Caenorhabditis elegans: one gene and its partners. The protein of the gene in region 1 interacts with the protein of each later gene in a pairwise test. Each region holds a gene or a part of one and is shown in the gene's direction. Other genes may lie near its edges.

The links. The genes of interacting proteins can lie anywhere in the genome.
Region 2: the proteins of ddl-1 (region 1) and wve-1 interact in a two-hybrid assay, tested with the Caenorhabditis elegans proteins (2 studies listed by BioGRID).
Region 3: the proteins of ddl-1 (region 1) and hsb-1 interact in a two-hybrid assay, tested with the Caenorhabditis elegans proteins (2 studies listed by BioGRID).

Annotation. Positions count from the first base shown.
Region 1 is NC_003280.10:5,646,659-5,649,526, reverse strand, and holds ddl-1 (WASH complex subunit homolog 3), read left to right. Parts: upstream 1-1,642; 5' UTR 1,643-1,652; coding exon 1,653-1,697; intron 1,698-1,746; coding exon 1,747-2,112; intron 2,113-2,162; coding exon 2,163-2,321; 3' UTR 2,322-2,368; downstream 2,369-2,868. Other genes in the region: F59E12.17 (Anaphase-promoting complex subunit 13), read left to right, coding at 86-169, 243-398; sam-4 (BLOC-1-related complex subunit 5), read left to right, coding at 453-745, 792-999, 1,118-1,339; F59E12.9 (TFIIS central domain-containing protein), read left to right, coding at 2,490-2,579, 2,627-2,699, 2,747-2,868. UniProt on the Caenorhabditis elegans protein: Acts as a component of the WASH core complex that functions as a nucleation-promoting factor (NPF) at the surface of endosomes, where it recruits and activates the Arp2/3 complex to induce actin polymerization, playing a key role in the fission of tubules that serve as transport intermediates during endosome sorting.
Region 2 is NC_003279.8:11,922,773-11,932,070, reverse strand, and holds wve-1 (Wiskott-Aldrich syndrome protein family member), read left to right. Parts: upstream 1-2,554; 5' UTR 2,555-2,563; coding exon 2,564-2,700; intron 2,701-2,749; coding exon 2,750-3,353; intron 3,354-4,623; coding exon 4,624-4,950; intron 4,951-6,287; coding exon 6,288-6,365; intron 6,366-6,535; coding exon 6,536-6,796; 3' UTR 6,797-7,530; downstream 7,531-9,298. Other genes in the region: R06C1.4 (RRM domain-containing protein), read right to left, coding at 436-583, 659-737, 1,237-1,264; fdps-1 (Farnesyl pyrophosphate synthase), read left to right, coding at 8,163-8,291, 8,801-8,941.
Region 3 is NC_003282.8:12,564,327-12,570,083, reverse strand, and holds hsb-1 (Heat shock factor-binding protein 1), read left to right. Parts: upstream 1-2,857; 5' UTR 2,858-2,871; coding exon 2,872-2,952; intron 2,953-3,006; coding exon 3,007-3,168; 3' UTR 3,169-3,173; intron 3,174-3,655; 3' UTR 3,656-3,989; downstream 3,990-5,757. Other genes in the region: Protein let-99, read right to left, coding at 301-485, 544-1,733, 1,781-2,133, 2,184-2,228; eak-7 (MTOR-associated protein MEAK7), read left to right, coding at 4,103-4,228, 4,284-4,463, 4,511-4,937, 5,382-5,527, 5,609-5,731.

The DNA of each region.
Region 1 (2,868 bases):
TTTTCCATTTATTTTAAACGTTTCCGATTAAAAATACATAAAATTATTGATTACAGGATAAGGAAACTTCGGAGAAAGCCATCGTATGTCGTTCGTCCCATCAGAAGTTCGACTTGATCACACATTTTTAGAGTGGGACAAAGAGTGGATATTCCAGCGTCTGCCAAAGGTTTGTGACAAGCTTTTCGAATAATTAAAGTGTAAAACCCGTAAGTATTGAAATTAAAATTATTCATTTTTAGACCGAGATTCAAATTCCGCGCGAGTTTGAGCCAGATATCGAAACCGACGCAATTCCCACCATTGCTCGTCAGCCCGCCGACCCAAACACTACCTGGAACGAGACTGGTTTGGATCAAATTCAAATGGGACCAACCATCAATAGTACAAAAAATTAAATCAAGGTTTGTGAAAGTTGATGTAATTTTTTAACTTCTTACACAAATTTTCAGATGGGAAACGAACAAAGCTCGTCAACAGCGGGCACATCATCTAATCCTCAAAATCAACAGTCGTCTTTTTCATTTCTCACTCGAGCCAGTACTAAACGATCAAAAGGCATTATCACGGTCAAAGATGGCAATATTCCTCAAGAAAAACTCGAAGATGATGAAATTTACAAAAGATTCACCGAAATTCCCCGTTTTTTGCCGGTGATTCCAGCCGTAATAGGCAAACGAGATCCACAAACGAATCAAGGAGCTTCTTACACTCATCAAAAAATCAGTTCGCGGCCCTTTTTTCGGTAAGATTTATTCCTTTTATTCAAAGTTTTAAAGTCACATATTCAGACTAGCAACACGATTACAAGAACATTTTGCCGTTAATGCGAAAGCAGTGGCAGCAGATCAAGCTAAAATTCCAGCAACTTGCAAGAGTGTTGAAGCGAAAATGATCAGACTTATTGAAGAAACAAGAGCTCATAAAGAACAACATGACGGTTTTATGGCTGCATTGAGCGGACTTAATCAATTGCACGATGACATCTGTAGTATTCAGGTGCGAATTAGAAAAAGAAACAATATTTAATGCATCATACCAAAATTGATTTTTAAAATGTTGCACCTTACATTTTTGCTCAAAAAACTTGCTCCGTTTATCAAAAATTAATTTTCAGATAATTCTTGAAGATATTGTGCCAATGGTTGAAACGCTTAATGAAATTCTAACTCCCGACGAACGTCTTCCTCCTCTTAATCTTGGCTCAGTGCTCGACAGATCTCCCGTTCCAAGCAGTGATAGCTCACTTCAAAGTACGCCCCGCCATAATCAAAATATTGGTCATATTGATCAAATTGAGCCGATTGAAGAAATCCGCGTAGTTGATCTACCAAAATAATTAATTTGTAAATTTTTATTCTCTTCTTGAATCTGTTGCCCTATCGCCCTTCCCAAAAAGTCTTGAAGGCTTTATCTCACTTTCTTCTCGCAATATCAAAATTCCATTGCCGTTTTGTGATTTTTTATTTAGTTCATGCACATATTTATCCGTCAATCCTATTTTGATTTCTAAATTTATCATAAATTCTAGTATTTTTCGCAAATTAATCTAATTAATTTACTTTGAATCTAACTTATATGGTTTGTGCCTTTTTCATATTTCCATTTCTTGTAATTAATTGCATCATTAATTAATTTTTAGATCACCAGCAATGAATGCGAGCTCCAGAACCAAACCTGCAATCGATTTGAACAAGGTAATATCTTAAAATCTCATCATAAAACTTTAAAGCTAAATTTTTTAAGGTTCCTCCGATCGATCATCACCGTACAGCAGTAACATTCAACTGTCTCATCATGAAAATGACAGAAATGCTCAATAATTTCGGAAATAAAATGGAAGACATTTTGGAAAAGGCAGAGCAGAGTTTAGACACTGCCGATCGAAAGTTACGCTTGATGGAATCGAAATTGGCAGGAATGAGTTTGGAGGATAAATCAACCACCGCCACACCATCATCAGCACCAGAAATAGACGAAATTCACGAATCGAATCCCAGCTCTTCACAAATCGTGGAGGAAACAGTGGAAGAGAAACCAGAAGAACATACTACGACGGTTCTTATCAAAGACGACCCGGCTTATAGTAAATATTTCAAAATGCTGAAATTGGTGAGTTTATCCACTTGAAATTGCTTTAATAATACTGTAATTTTTTTTAGGGAGTGCTTGAAGCTGGTGTAATACAGAAAATGAAATCCGAAGGCGTCGACCCATCAATTTTGAAACGCGGTGATGAACCATCTCGTCCACAGGCACAGACTTCACGGAATTATGAATCTTCTGGAGAATCTACGGCATCCTTCTCTGACTCTGATTAATTTATTTTTTGTATATTTTTACGGGTTCATAAAATGTATAAAACATTATTTTTTAATTTTCGGAATATGATGTACTACACTGTTAACTCGTTTTAACGATTATGATATACTTCTATTCATTTTTTTAAAATTGATATAATATACATACTAATTTCCCTTTCAGACAAAATGAAATCACATTCAAATGTAACTACGCCACAAGCAGAACTTGTGAGCCCAGCCATGGGTGAACTACTCAAAAATGCCATCATGAAATCTGTAAGTTATTAAATTAATATCACATGGAAACTTTATTTGAAATTTAGGCTCCTGTCGCTCTTGCACTTATGAAAGGTGAACGTCCTGGGAAGAAAAAGAAAAATAAAAGGGAAAAACAAGGTGAGCGACCGTTCGAATAAATGATTAGACTATCGGCAGTTTTTCAGAAGATGACGTGGAAGTTACACCAAAGTCGAAAGAGAAACGTCGGAAAAGCGAGAAGAAGGAAAAACCTCCAATTTTGAATTATTTGGACGATTCAGATTCTGATTCGGCAGATTTTTCATCA
Region 2 (9,298 bases), on another chromosome or scaffold:
GGAGTCAGGCTGTCTCATTGCGGTTTGATCTACAAAAAATGCGGGAATTTTCTCCCCAGGAAAGTGTGACGTCAGTTGAAAAGTCTGCGTCTCTTTTCCCTCATTTTTCGAAGATCAAACCAAAATGGGACACTTTGACACCACGTGTCAGTTTCTTTGAAGTCAATTTTCTTTATAATACTTTGCTCATGGTGCAACGATCTTTTTTTAGGTCTAAAAGCCGAAGCCTGAGCCCCAGCCTATGCTTAAGCCTAAGCCTAAGCCTAAGACTGAGCCGTAAACCTGCACTCTGTGAAAAAATGCTCGAAGTTTTCAGTTTTCAAAAAGATTTATTATTTAAGTGTAGATGGTGAAAAACATGCACGAAGATAGAATTTTTGGTGGAATGTATATCACAAGTGCAATCTCTTTGAGTCACTCGGCGGCGTTGTCAGTTTACTTGTTGGCGTAGTTGACACGAAGGTTGCGTCCATTGAAGGCAACTCCGTTAAGTTGTTCGACGGCTCTTTGAGCTCCGGCTTCCTCGGAGAACTCGACGAATGCGAAACCGCGTGGGCGTCCGGTTTCACGATCGTACACGATTCTGGAAGACATTGATTAGTTTTGACAAGGTTTTAATCGAAAGTTTCCGAGTTTCTGAGTTTCTGAGTTCTCTTACCTGACGTTGTTAACATGTCCGACGGCGGCGAAGTAGTTTCCGATCTCCTCCTCAGTTCCTTGGTATGGAACGTTTCCAACTAGAAAAAAATCGATTAGCAAAACGGGGGTAATAGTAGGTTTTGGCCTATATATAGAAAGTTACAAACTCTCACAATGCACTGTTACAGAGCAAATGCACCCTATCCTAGTCCTAGACTACGGAGACCATGACAGTGCGAAAAGTCTCTTCACCCATACTTTTTGTGGTCGAACGGCGTCTCCATTTCCAGAATTGTGTGGCGATCCGTGTGGGGTCCCGGGTACTCAGTTAGTAGACTCAGTTATACTTATACACGTGGAAGGGGACTACCTGAAATATCGGGATTTGTTGTCAAGGAACACGAATGAACCATAGAGAACGAAGGCCGATCGGAAAACGCTAACAATTATCAGAAATCGATACTTTCTGCAAGTCGAAGAAAAGTTCATCGAAGAAAAGTGTGAGAAAGTTTCAGAAGTTTTGAGAATTTTGTATCATATTCAAAATTTGTACAAATTTAAATTTAATTTTCACCACCGATTTATTACTATACTTACCGTAGACGGAGAATCCTTGGGAAGCCATGATAGATTTTTTTTTGAAGAAAAACGAGTGTGTTTCCGCGTGGAAGACAGACTAAAAATGTTCGATCGAATTTGGCAGTCCTAAAAAGATTGAGGCCAAACGCGCGGCGGGTCTCGCAGCGAACGTGCCGCACTACGGTCGATTTTGTGTAGGTTTACGGGAGGGATATTTTGGAGAAGAAATCGGCAATTGTTGGGAAAGTGAAATGCTTATTACGTAACAAATTTGACGCGAAATATACCTCGTAGCGAAAACTACAGTAATTCTTTAAATGACTACTGTACGGGCTCGGTATTCGAAATGAATTTTAGCTTCTGTGACACAACCAAGTTGGCGAAAATTGAGAATTTAGCTATATTTTGTTATTTTTCTCAGAATTAGAACAATTTCATTGATAAATAAAAAGGACCATCTCTCCGAAACCTCGCCATTTCACGATATTTTGAATATTTTGAACAGTAAATATTGAAATTTCAATCTCATTCTATTTTCGCATTTTCCTGTATCGATTTTTTGTTTTGTATATCATTTTTTAGACCGAAAAAAATTAATATTTAAATAAATATAAAACATTTCCGGAAATGAAAATATTTCCGATGAATCACAGCGAGACACTGTATGTATTCGAGAGAGTGCAGACGCTCGCTTGCGCACTTCTCGTGAGTGTTTGCTGACGCATCCCGGGTGCACCTTGGCGCATTTCTGGATTAATGATATTTTAATTGAAAAACATGAGATTTTATTGGTTTTTCCTCGTTTTTTGCAGTTTTTCCGATGAAAAAAAACATTTTCTGACAGAAATAATAATTTTGAAGCTGAAAAACTATGTATTTTATGATATTTCGTTGGAAAATTAGGTTTTATAAGTTTTTCAGTGAATTTGTGGGTTTAGCATGTAAATGAAGCAATTTTATATGTTTTCTAGCGATTTTTCCCGGTAAAGTTACCAATTTCAGCATAATTTTATTAAAAAAGTGGCTTTTCTGTTTAAAAAACTCAATTTTATAATTTTTCCAGTGCATTTTCGTGTTTACCATTAACATTAGAGTTTTTCGTGGAATTTTCCAACTAATTTCATTGATTTTGGCTGCTCGCTTTTATGAAGTTTCCAGTGAATTTTTATGTTTAACTAATTTTTTTCACGATTTTCGTGCCAATTTCCATTAAATCCATGGATTTTTACATATTATTCAGGGAAGAAAGTGATTTTTTTTCGATTTCAAGTCATCTTCTGTGAATTCTAACGCTTTCTCGCAATTTCCACCCACATAATCCCGCAATTTCTGCACATTTTCAGCAATGCCTCTAACAAAACGGGCGGTATCACCGGTAAACCTCAGCAGAGGCACAATTCCATCAACAATCCATCGTGATGAGCTTCAATGTACTGCTAATGGGACAATCGCCAATTTAGTACGACAATTGAGCTCGTTGAGGTGGGAAATTAGGTCGGAAAACTGGAATTTTATCGATTTTTTTTTGCAGTAAGCACGCTGAGAACATCTTCGGAGAGATTTATCACGACGCAATGATAATAAATCACAAATCGAACACTCTTCAACAGAGAATTGATAGATTGCACAAGAAAGTTGAAGATTTGGATTCAAATTCCGATCAAGCAACGTTGAATGAAGCGAATATGCGAAAAGCATTCAAAAGTTCAATGCTTGTAGATCAACATATTCTGGATAGAAGCACTTTACCTACAGCATTGACTGAAATATATGCAAAATGTGATCCACCGCCGGATCTTGATGCTCTAAATCCGTATAGAGACTCTGAAATCCCTGCGCTCTCTCTCTACACAAATCCCTCGTTTTTCTTCGATTTATGGAAAAAGGAGACACTAAAAGAGGTTGCCGAACGGCCCAGACGGGTAAAAAGCCCGAACGACGGGAGTAAAAGCCCGAAAAAGCGGCGGAAGCAGCCTGGACAAGGCCCTCTCGGCACGACGGCCTATAATGATATGCAGCATAGGAATCGACAGATTAGTGGATCACGGATTAATCAGCAGAATGAAGTTTTCTCGTTCCCGGAGGAATATCAGGCTCCGCAGGCTCTCGGGCTTCAGCTTAACTTTAAAAATCAGGTAGATTTTCGCGAGATTTTTCGATTTTTTGAAGAGAAAATCTCCAAACCGTTGAAAATCGGAAAAAATCGATAATTGAGCCCAAAAATTTGAAAAAAATCGAGTTTTTTGCTGAAAAAGTGAATTTTCTATTGTTTAAAAAGAAAATCAACTTTTCAACGAGATTTCAGCGCTTACACAGCTCTTGTGCTCCCCGAGCAGGCCAAAATGTTCTATTTTGGGGCAAAATTATGGGTTTCCAGTAATTTGGAGCATGAAATTTCCTAAAAATGCACTTTTTCGCCAAAAAACAAGCCAAAATCAATGAGAAAAAGTCACTTTTTCATTAAAATCTGCGAAGATTGATAAGTTTTTGGAAAAATCGCTAGAAACCCTACAAATTAACTTCAAAAAAACTATGAAATCGAATTTTTCAACGAAGTCCCAGCTTTTCCGCTTCAAATGATTTTTTACCGTTGAAAATCGGAAAAAATCGATAATTGAGCCCAAAAATTTGAAAAAAAATCGAGTTTTTTGCTGAAAAAGTGAATTTTCTATTGTTTAAAAAGAAAATCAACTTTTCAACGAGATTTCAGCGCTTACACAGCTCTTGTGCTCCCCGAGAAGGCAAAAATTCTCTATTTTGGGCCAATATTTGGGTTTTTTAGCCATTTGGGGCTTGAAATTTCATAAAAATTCACTAGAAACTTCCAAAAAGCCGAGTTTTCACCGAAAAACAAGCGAAAATCAATGAAATTAGTGGGAAATTCCTTAGAAAAAATAATTTTTCAACAGAAAAGTGCCACTTTTTCATTAAAAATATGCGAAAATTGATAATTTTTTTTTTGGAAAAATCGCTAGAAACCCTACAAATTAACTATAAAAATCCTATAAAGTCGAAAGTTTCAATGGGAACAAATAATTTTGAAGCTGAAAAGTTATGGATTCTAGAGGATTTCGTTGAAAAATTCGATTTTATAGGGTTTTTATAATTAATTTGTACGGTTTCTAGGGATTTTTCCAAAAAAACTTATCAATTTCAGCATATTTTTAGTGAAAAAGTGAAACATTTCTGTTGAAAAACGTTTTTCATTGATTTTGGCTTGTCTTTGAGGCTGAAAACTCGAGTTTTTTGGAAGTTTTCAGTGAATTTTTAAGAAATTTCATGCTCCAAATGACAAAAAAACTCTGAAAAATCGATAATTAAGCCCAAATATCCTTCTCTGGGAGTAATTTTGAAGAAAAAAACGATTTTTTCCACTGAAAATCTCCCAATTTTTGATAAATTCAGCACCCCTCCAACATGGTTGCCCCAATCGGAATGACAATGCACCATCATCCTCAACAAAATGTGCATCCGAGCCAACAACGAGGTGGTGCTCCAGCAGCAGCTCGTGGATCTCCGAATGTTAAACGTCCGACTGAAGCTCCGCCGCCAGTGAATCTGGATCACCTCCCACCACCGGATATGTCAATTTTATCGATTGATGATGATGATGATGATCTTCCACCACCACCACCACCGCTTCTCATGAATACATCAATTGTACATCAGTTACCAGCAGAAGCTCCGTCGACGATACAGTTTGTCGAGCCGAGTGCTGCTCCGCCGACTAATGTACGTTTTGGAGCTCGAGAGAATTTGGAGATTTTGGAGTAAAATCTTGGTTTTTGCGAGGAAAAAAGCTTGCGTTTTTGCTTTAAATTGTCCGTTTTCACGACGAAAAAGCTTGGAAAAGCTTGAAAAAACTAGAAAATGTGAAAAGTCTCTATTATTCTAAGTTATTATGAGCGTTTAGAAGCCTTAAGCCTTTTTCAGGCAAAATCTCGCTTTTTCGCTTTAATTTGTTCATTTGGGCCACGAAATCACGAAAAATTGGTTGAACTCTATTAGAAAGGCTTGAAACGGCTTGAAACCGTTTGGAAAAGCTTGGAAAAGCCTGACAGAGCTTGAACTAGCTTGGAAGAACTTGAAAGAGAACGATAAAGCTTGAACAAGTTTGGAAAGCCTGACAGAGCTTGAACTAGCTTGGAGAAGCTTAAAGAGCTTGAAAAAATAGTGAACAAGCTTGGAGAACCTTGAAATGGCTTGAAAACGTTTGGAAAACCCTGGAAAAGGCTTGAAAAGGCCTGCAAAAGACAGGAAAAGATTCCAAAACGCTTAAGAAAGCTTGAACAAGCTTGGAAAAGCTTGAAAGAGCAAGAAAAAGCCTGGAAAAGCTTGTAGAGCTTAAACGAACTTGTAATAGCTTGAAAAGGCTTGGAAAAGCCTGACAGAGCTTGAAATAGCTTGAATGAGCTTAACGAGCTTATAATAGTTTGAAAAAGCCTGGAAAAACCTGGAAAAGCTTGGAGGAGCTTGAACAAGCTTGACCAAGCTTGAGCAAGCCTGAAAGAGTTGGGAAAAGCCTGAAAAAGCTTGGAAACGCCTTGAAAAAGCTTGGAGGAGCTTGAACAAGCTTGACAAAGCTTGAAAAAGCCTGACTGAGCTTGAAATAGCTTCGATGAGCTTAAACAGCTTGAAACAGCTTGAAAGAGAACGATAGTGGCTTCGAAAAGCTTACAGAGCTTAAAAAAGCCTGGAAAAACTTCAAAATGCTCGTGCGAGCTTGAAACAGCTTGTAAAGCCTGAAAGAGCTTGGAAAAGGCGTCAAAAAGCTTAGACGAGCTCGAAAAAGCTTGCGAAAGCCTGGAAAAGCTAAAAAAGCCTGACTGAGCTTGAAATATCTTCGATGAGCTTAAAAAGCTTGAAACAGCTTGGAAAAGCTTGGAAATTTGTGAAAAGCTCCAAGATTTCTTGTAGTGCATAAAATTAATTTGAAGCTATATTTCTGCAATTTCCAAGCTTAAAACCCCGAATTTTTCAGTTAAAAATTTGCAATTTTTGTCCATTTTTGTGTTTCCCTCATTGTTGTCCACTTTCCGCTTCTTTCTTCAATTCTCGATCCCTTTCAGATCCCTCCACCACCTCCACCACCACCTCCAATGGTTATAAGCTCGGCTGCAGCGTCATTTGCAGCTCCGGCTCCAAAGGTAAAGGCGCTGGAACAGCAGGGCTCTATGTGTGTCTAACCCGCTGAAAATGTGTAGTTTTCCTGTGTTTTTTGGACTTTTTTGAAGCTTTTTTAGGGACAAATTTCAAGAGAAATAGCCGAATTTTCATCAAAAAATCGATTTTCTCCCACTAAAACTGAAATTTTCAGCCATCCGCGGACGGTGAAGCTGCTGGCACAAATTCCCCAGTTGCTCCAAAACAACCAGATGCTCGAAGTGATCTTTTGGCTCAAATTCAATCTGGAATAAAGCTGAAAAAAGTGCAAAGAGCCGAGGCAGAAGCCGCCGAGAATGCTGCTCTCGAGGCGAATAATGTTGCGGCGATATTGAAGAGACGAATGGATCAAGTTATGGGAAATGATGATTCAAGTAGTGAAGAAGGAGCTGATGATGATGAATGGGATGATTAATTGCTCTCTTTTGTGTCGATTTACGCAGATCTCGTGTACTCCTCGAGGAGAAGATTCTACAGATTTTGGCTAAAAATGCTTGATTTTCGCTATTTTTTCCTTGAAAATTAACATTCAAAGCGGTGATTTTTAAGCGAAAAACCCGTGAAAATAGCTCTAAATCAAGCATTATTACCCATTTTTGCATTTTTACTGATTTTTTCGGTGAAAAAAAAAACGATTTTTCGCTGAAATTCTTGATTTTCGCTATTTTTACTTGAAAATTAACATTCAAAGCGGTTATTTATGCACTTTTAAGTGAAATCTGAGTGTTTTTAAAGTTAAAAATAAAAATAATTCATTGATTTTTGCCAAAAAAAAAACCGTGAACATTGCGAAAATGGCTCAAAATCAAGTACTTTTTTTTGCTAAAATGGTTGATTTTGAGCCATTTTCGCTATTTTCACGGTTTTTTTTTGTCGGTGAAAACTTTAAAATCGCTCAAATTTCACTTAAAACGCTATAAATAACCGGTTTAAATGTTAATTTTGATAGAAAAATAGCGAAAATCAAGCATTTTTAAGCCAAAAAACTGTAAAATCTTCTCCTCGGGGACTACACGAGCTGCGTAAATCGACGCACACTTTTTCGAATTTTCTTGTGTAAATACTGCCTTGCTTTAATTTATTTATTCAAAAATTTTTAAAATTTTTTCCGCTTTCCTGTTTCAAATGAACTGATTTTTCTCATTTTTTGCCCCTCCAGAATTGTAAATTTAAATTTCCAAGTGGTCGCCTGCCCCCTCATTATTATTTCGCAATTTTATGATTCATCAGTTTTTCCAATTTTTATTCGATTTTTTTTCAATTTAAATCAATTTAAACCTTTGAAATGTAGGAAAACTTCAATTTTCGCTTAAAATTTTCAATTTTTGGTGAAAAATCGATTTTTCCGGAAAAAAAACGTGAAATTTCCAATTTGGAGCACATTTTTATGAAATTTGCATCATTTCTCTCGAATTTACGAAAATATTTAAATTTTCAGCGGAATTTGGACATATTTCCTGGAAAACTCTTGATTTTTCGCAGAAAATTGCAATTTTTCATGCAAAAATTTGTTTTCTACGCATCGGAGCTCCAAAATTCCCAAATTATTCGAAAATTCAATTTTTAGCTTTTTTTTTCTCGAAATTTCAATTGAAAATCGTGTTTTTTGGCTCATTTTAGCTCAGTTTTCAGCTGAAAAATTCGAAATTGGGCGAAAATTTGCTCAAAAACCGGTTTTTCAGCTTGAAATTTCATAATAATGATGCAACGGCTCTAAATTTTCATTTTCTCTAGTTTTTTTTGCCATTTTTCCCTCTAATTTTCTCGTATTTTCAGCAGCAATGTTCGCCAGTAGAAAGCTGGTAGAAACGGCGTTGGGCGAAGTTAAGAAGAAATTCGTACGGGTTGTGGCGGCAAAATTGCCTGCTGATGGAATGGAATACGATTTGGTTCAGTATAGATGTAGAAATGTACGGAAAAGACGATTTTCTCGGTTAAAATGCGTGGAAAAATGGCACTTTTCACACTAAAACTAGAAAAAAGTGGAGAAAAAGTCAAAAATTCACTCCAAATTTCGAATTTCCTGTTGAAAATTTCATATTTTTCGCCGCAGAAAATGCACTAAAACCAGCAGAAAAAGTTTTTGTTTGATTTTCTAACTAAAAATCCAGTTTTTTCCATCAAAAAATTCAAAATTTTCTGCTAAAAAACCAAAAAAGGAGAAAAAGTGGAGAAAAAGTCAAAACTTGACTCCAAATACCGAATTTCCTGCACATTTTTCCGTATTTTCTGCTGAAAATTCACTAAAATCAGCAAAAAATACGCCGAAAACCGGAGGAAAAAGCAGTTTTCCAGAGAAATTCTGTATTTTTTGCACTAAAAGCAGTAAATTTTCCAAAAAAAAGCCAATTTTTCACGATTTTGGTCAGTTTTTGGCGAAAAATCCAGTATTTTCCATCAAAAATTCCCAAATTTTCAGCTATTCGACAACACTGTAATCGGCGGAAAATACTCACGAGCATCCCTATGCGTTGACACAATACGGGCTTTACAGCCTCATTTAAGAGATGAAACTCAGGAGCTTCAAGCTGTGTGTGAAGCTGCTGCAACACTTGAAATTGTCAGTTTTTAGATGGAAAATCGGCGTTTTTTGAGAGAAAACCCGACTAAATTGAAGGAGAATGGGCTCAAATGAACGAATTTCGTAATGAAACTGCTCGAAAATGCAATTTTTCATTAAAAATCACCGAGAAAATCTTTTTTTTCCTAAAAATCCGAAAAATCAATAATTTTTTGCAGTTCCTGAAAATTAGAATAACCGAAAAATTGGAATTTTCTTATAAATTACCAGAAAATGGCTTTTTCCATTAAAAAAAGCATGTGAAAATCATATTTTTCAATAAAAAAAGCCAAAAAACCAAAAATTGGAGGTTTTTTTCCCGTACAAAAACCTAAAAATCTCGCTAAATCATCAAAA
Region 3 (5,757 bases), on another chromosome or scaffold:
AAGTTCGCGACAAAAGTACGGTACCGGTCTCGAGGCGACAAATTTTTCTTTTGTCGAATGAAACGAATGAAGATTTCTGCAGAATTTTAATTGTTGAAATATAGGTGTTAATTTTGTAGTGCTAAATTGATAAATATTTTTTTTTATCAAATAACTAATTAAAATCCATAAAAATTCGGCAGAAATGAGAGTTTGAAATTACAGTACTCCTTGAGGGCGCACACATTTTCTTATCTAACAAAAAGTTGTCGTGTCGAGACCGGTTACAGTAGTTTTCTTGCAAAATTATCCCCTCCTTACCGCTTCCCGATTGTTGGAAGATCCGTTAGAAGGATCAGCGAGGTCGAAAACTGCATTCGTTTCGATCGATTGAATGAATGTAACAAATTTGTGAAGTTTCCGACGTCGTGAAGTTGGAAGCGAAAGAAGTACCAATTGAATTGCTTCGATCAACCATTGCTCTCGGATTTCGTAGGATTTTTCGTCTGAAATTATAATTTTAAGTAAAAATCGTGAAACTGTAATAAAAATAAAATTCTTTACCTTGTATTTCCAAATTCACTCTATTATCAAATGGTGATAACGCACGTCGTCGATACTTTGAAGCTCGAATTCCGCATGCTGGAAGATCACGGGAGAATCCATCGACCATCAATCCAGCCTCCTCAATACTAGACGCAGACGAAGAAATCATCACTTTCGACCATCGCCTTGCAGGCCCATTGTCAAGCATTGCCGCGAAGCTATCGATTTTGCAGAGGAGATTAACAATAAGAGAGCATTCATCGAATTGAAGAGGAGCATTCAAGTCTTCGAGACGATTGACTAGAGTTATGAAAATCCGATTGACGTTGTATTCCAACCCTGTGTCCATTTTTTTATGCGTGACGAAGGGATATCGAACAAGATAATCCATGAATTGAATAACAGTTTGGGGATAATCGGGCTGCAGTCCCTGACATCTCGATTTGACGATTCCATCAGCATGATCTATTTCAATCATGTTCCACTGAATATCGTATCCATCGACTTTAGATGCCCATTCACAGGGAAGAGTGCGATCGTAAATTTGTTCCAATCGTCCAAGCAGCTCTGTTTTCCAAAATGAGCATTCGTTGTTTGCCTGGACAGAGTCTGCAACTGGAACAACCGACGATCTTCTCATGATGGATTCGTACATTCTTCCACGCGATAACAATGCTGGATTTGATCCTGCGATGCTTGTCCGATGATTTTGATATCTGCTAGGAACTGCAGGCAACGGTCCTTGTGGATGCATAAAGACGACGTCTTTCGGGGCTTCTCGAATTGGCGGAGTGGTTACTTTCTGACTACGAAGAGCAGCTTCAGCTTTTTCTTGTTCCAAAACACAATGATTTCGATCAAGGGATGCTGAACGACGGGTTGGTTGATTGACTTTCGTGTGATTTCGTCTTGATTTGAAAAACGGTAACCAATCATAAACCTTCTCTTTCATCTCAGAAACTTCTCGTTTTTCAGTATATTCTTCTGTACAGATACTTTCAAGTGATCTGTTCAAAATCTTCGGAGTTCGTTGTTTCTTCGGGATTTCATCGTCTTTATGATCATCGAAACCGTGATTCTCAACGCCGCCTGAAGAATTATCGATGCCTGCTTTGTCAATGTTGCCATTAGATCGCGATAATCTTCGTGGGAGCCTTGCCTTTGGTGGCCGGTGCATTGTCGCGGCAGGAGAGGCAGGTTGAGCAACTCTGGAAATATATTTTATAGCACAGTTTAAAATGATTATTTGGCATACTTTGCACTTTTGCGAGCACCACTGAAAGACGCTGATCGACGTGATCGGGGCTTGGGATGCTTCAACTCATCCAAAGTCTTCATGAACAAATATATTCTCGATTCACTGAATGGCCTCCTTTGCTTGACTTTCTTCGGGAAGGCTTCTGAAATCACGTTCATGTCCATCATGAACTCCAGGAACTTCTGCATCTTGTCTCGTTCCGGAACATTGTTAGGGATGATTCGTGGCATTTCAATCATCAGAAAATCCACAGCTTCTTTCCCGCTGAAACTGTTTTCCGCAGTGGCCAATCCTCTTCTGTTCGTTTTGAGTGATAAGTTTGAACGAAAATGCCATAGAATTTCGTCGAACTGAAAATCAGAATAAAATTTCAAAAGACAAATGTGAAACATTTTAATACCAGATGCGTCGCCTTGAACTTCTCCGATGAGTAGTCGGCAGACATCACGGCAAGACGGCCTAAAACTTGAATTTTGATGGTTTATTGATAAATTTAAGAACTTCTTAAAAGAAAACGAGATTTCATCACGAAAAAAAGCAAGAATGAGGAAAAATTTCTGGAAACTTCCTAAAAATTGCTGAAACGAGTGAAGTTTTGGCGCCGAAGTTTTGTTTACGGACCAAACACACGAAAACACGACTTGTCACACAACTTATTAGCTACAGTAACCCATTCTGCTTTGAAAATTTCTCTTTTTAATTAAAAATTCCTCGATTCAGATGTTTTTTTTTTCTCAAAGTGTTTCTAATAATTATATTTTCCTCGAAATCCACACTATTTTACATAAAACAAATCATCTTATTCTGCTCTTTTCGCCGTTTACACCATCTGTCCTTCTCCAATGACTCCTTCTCTGCGTCTCTTTCACTCTCTCGCCGCCCTCTTTTTCTCTGTCGTCTCTCACTTCGACGTACTTTCTCTCGTGTTGTTGTTCCCGTACTTTTGTGTGTTCCACTGTTTGTGAGATGACGGCTAGTTGCCTGGTACTGGATTCTCACCAGTTTTAATTGATTTTTCATCAAATTTTCTTTAAAAACTGATTAAACTTTGTGATTTTTATCGTATTTTTACAGATTTTCAGTTCAAAATGTCCGATGAGAAGTCTACCACACCAACCGCTCAACTCGACGCTCCAGCCGATGGAAATATGAATGATTTGACGTCGTTGGTACGTAAATACTTGAAAAAAATTGTCAATTTTCTAAAAAATCCTAAAACTCAGATACAAGGAGTTCTGCAACAGACACAGGATCGATTCCAGCACATGTCGGATCAGATTATTCGGCGAATCGATGATATGACAACGAGAATCGATGATTTGGAGAAGAATATCAACGATTTGCTGCAATCGAACCAAGTTGAACATCCGCCAAGCGCTCAATAAGATTGGTACGGAATGAGAAAAATGGGAAACATTCTCAAAAATTTCGGTCGATGTTTTGACCACTCGTTATTTTTGAAAAACAGTGTTGTTTTTGATGTCGACTTTGAAATTTCAAAAAAAAACAATAATATGGGCCGTGGGACCCAATTAGAAATACAGTAAAAAACGCTCTTTGGCCGAATATTTTATAATTTTCATGTATGAAGTCAATCCTTTTATTCCTTCTTAACTTTAGTTTGAAATATATTTAGATTTCCTAGCGCCTTTCCAATCGATTTACCACGTGGTAATCAGGCCGATTGCACCGTTATTCCAAGACTTTATCATTAAAAATTAGTATAAAAATATAGAACTTCACCTATTAATTTTGGCTGAAAAATTCGCCGAAGAGCTCAAAAATGGTCTGAAAGATGCCAAATTTCCACTAAAAAATCAATTTGTAGAGATTATTAATAACTAATCTCTCTTCAATTTCTATTTTTTCCAGCTCTACACTCTTCCCAAATGAATCATCGTCGCTTCCTTCTTCATCATCATCATAATTCCAATTCGTTTTGTGTGCTTCTCTGCGTCTCTCCTACATACATATACTCTTTTCACGTCTTCTTCTTCTTCTTTTTCTACTGATTATGCACGTGTTGAGAGGATTCATGACTACTATGTTGTGCCTCCTGCTTTTAATCTCTTATTCAATAACTTTTGTTGCATTTTATTACGATTTTCGGAATTATTTTATTTATATGTGAAAACACAAATTTTGCCAAAAATTCAAATTTTTGTGCATTTTTAAAAAAAATTTTCAATATGAAACTATTCATCTTACTTTTTCTTCTTCTTCCCTTGAATTTTTTCTCATACTAAATGTTGATTTCTCACAGTTTTTACTAACTATTTCGCATCCGGATTTTCAGATAAAAAACATATAATTTCAGAAATGGGAGCTCAAAATTCGAAGCGAAAAGATCTAAAAAATATTAACGATGAGGATTATGCACATTTTATGGAAAAACTCAAAAAACACACAGATGGAAAGGACAAAATGACGCGAGACCAGTTTGTGGTGAATTAATTTTTAGAAGGAAAATACATTTTAATATAAAATTTTCAAATTCCAGGCAATGTTCATACCGATTCTGGGTGAATATTCATCACAATTCTACTTTCGTTTGGTAAAAAACGAGCCGCAGGGCGTTTTGCTCGCTAAAACAATCCTAAAATGTATTGATACTGGACTGGGACATTTCGATCAGCTCGCCGATATGCTCAGATTCTGTTTTGGAGATCAAAAAGATCAGGTTTCGAATTTATTAATTTAAAGAAAAACTTCTTTTTTTTTTGTCAGATAATGCGAAATGTTGTGAAAATCTTCTGTGAAGGAAACAAATTCACCCGAGAGGATCAGGTCCGTCTCTACGATTATTTCGAAACAGAAAATACAAAACCAGTGAGCGAACTGGAAAGCTTTTTCTCAATGTGCCCACTGTTCGCCTATTGTGCTTCGTTCATTTTCCAACGACTTTTGGATAAAACTGGAGACTCGAAAATGCCAATTCTCTCGGACAAGACTCATTTAATGGGAAATATCGATCAATTAGTGCTCAACTCGCACCTTCCATTCGATCGACGCAAAAATTGGACACTTTTATATTCAAACATGAAACACGGGCAAAGTTTCTCACAATTGGTTAAATGTATTAATGGAGAAGGTCCTTGTATGATTGTGATCAGATCAATGAAAGGACGACGATTTGGGTTTTTCGCCTCGCAAGGTACACAAGAAATGTTGTGTCGATTTACGCAGCTCGTGTACTCCTCGAGAAGAATTTATACCTTATGATTTGCAGAAGATTTTACAGATTTTACTTTTTTTGCAGATTTTCTAGATTTCAGATCTTTCTTTTTGTAGACTGAAACCGAGAAATTGTAGTTTTACAATAGCAAATACATTTTCAAAAATGCTATAAATTATAGATAAATTGATGATTCCAGTTTTAAATATCAAAAAAATTGACAAACAGTTTCAAAAATTGAACATTTCATCCAAAAACTGTAAAATCTTCCTCCACGAGGAATACACGAACTGCGTAAATCCACACATGGCTGTGTTACAAGTTTCGCAGTAATTCTTCATTTTTTCAATTATGATAAAGCAACGGAATTCTAGCAGATACTATTTGAGTACCAATTTTCTCTAAAAATTGAAAATTTTTTAGGTTTTCTCGCGGGACCCCAATACCGTGGCACGGCCGAGTGTTTCCTCTTCCAGCTGGCTCCGAAAATTGCAACTTTTGATGCGACCGGGCGGACTGAGAATTACGTGTACCTAAACTACCAGCAACAGCAACATCCGAATGGATTGGTGAGTATATCCCGCCATGGATCATTCAGTATCTAGAGAACCAGTTTTACGATTTTTAAGTGTGAAATTTTCAAATTTCAGGGAATTGGTGGAACCGAATCCGTATGGCCGTTGTTTATCCACGAGGAGTTTGGCGGTGGAACGTGCCAAAAGAATTCCAGTTCGTTTGAGCCTTGCCACATTGCCGAAGAGGACGAGTTCAAGGTGAATCGGGACTAAAGCCCTTAAAG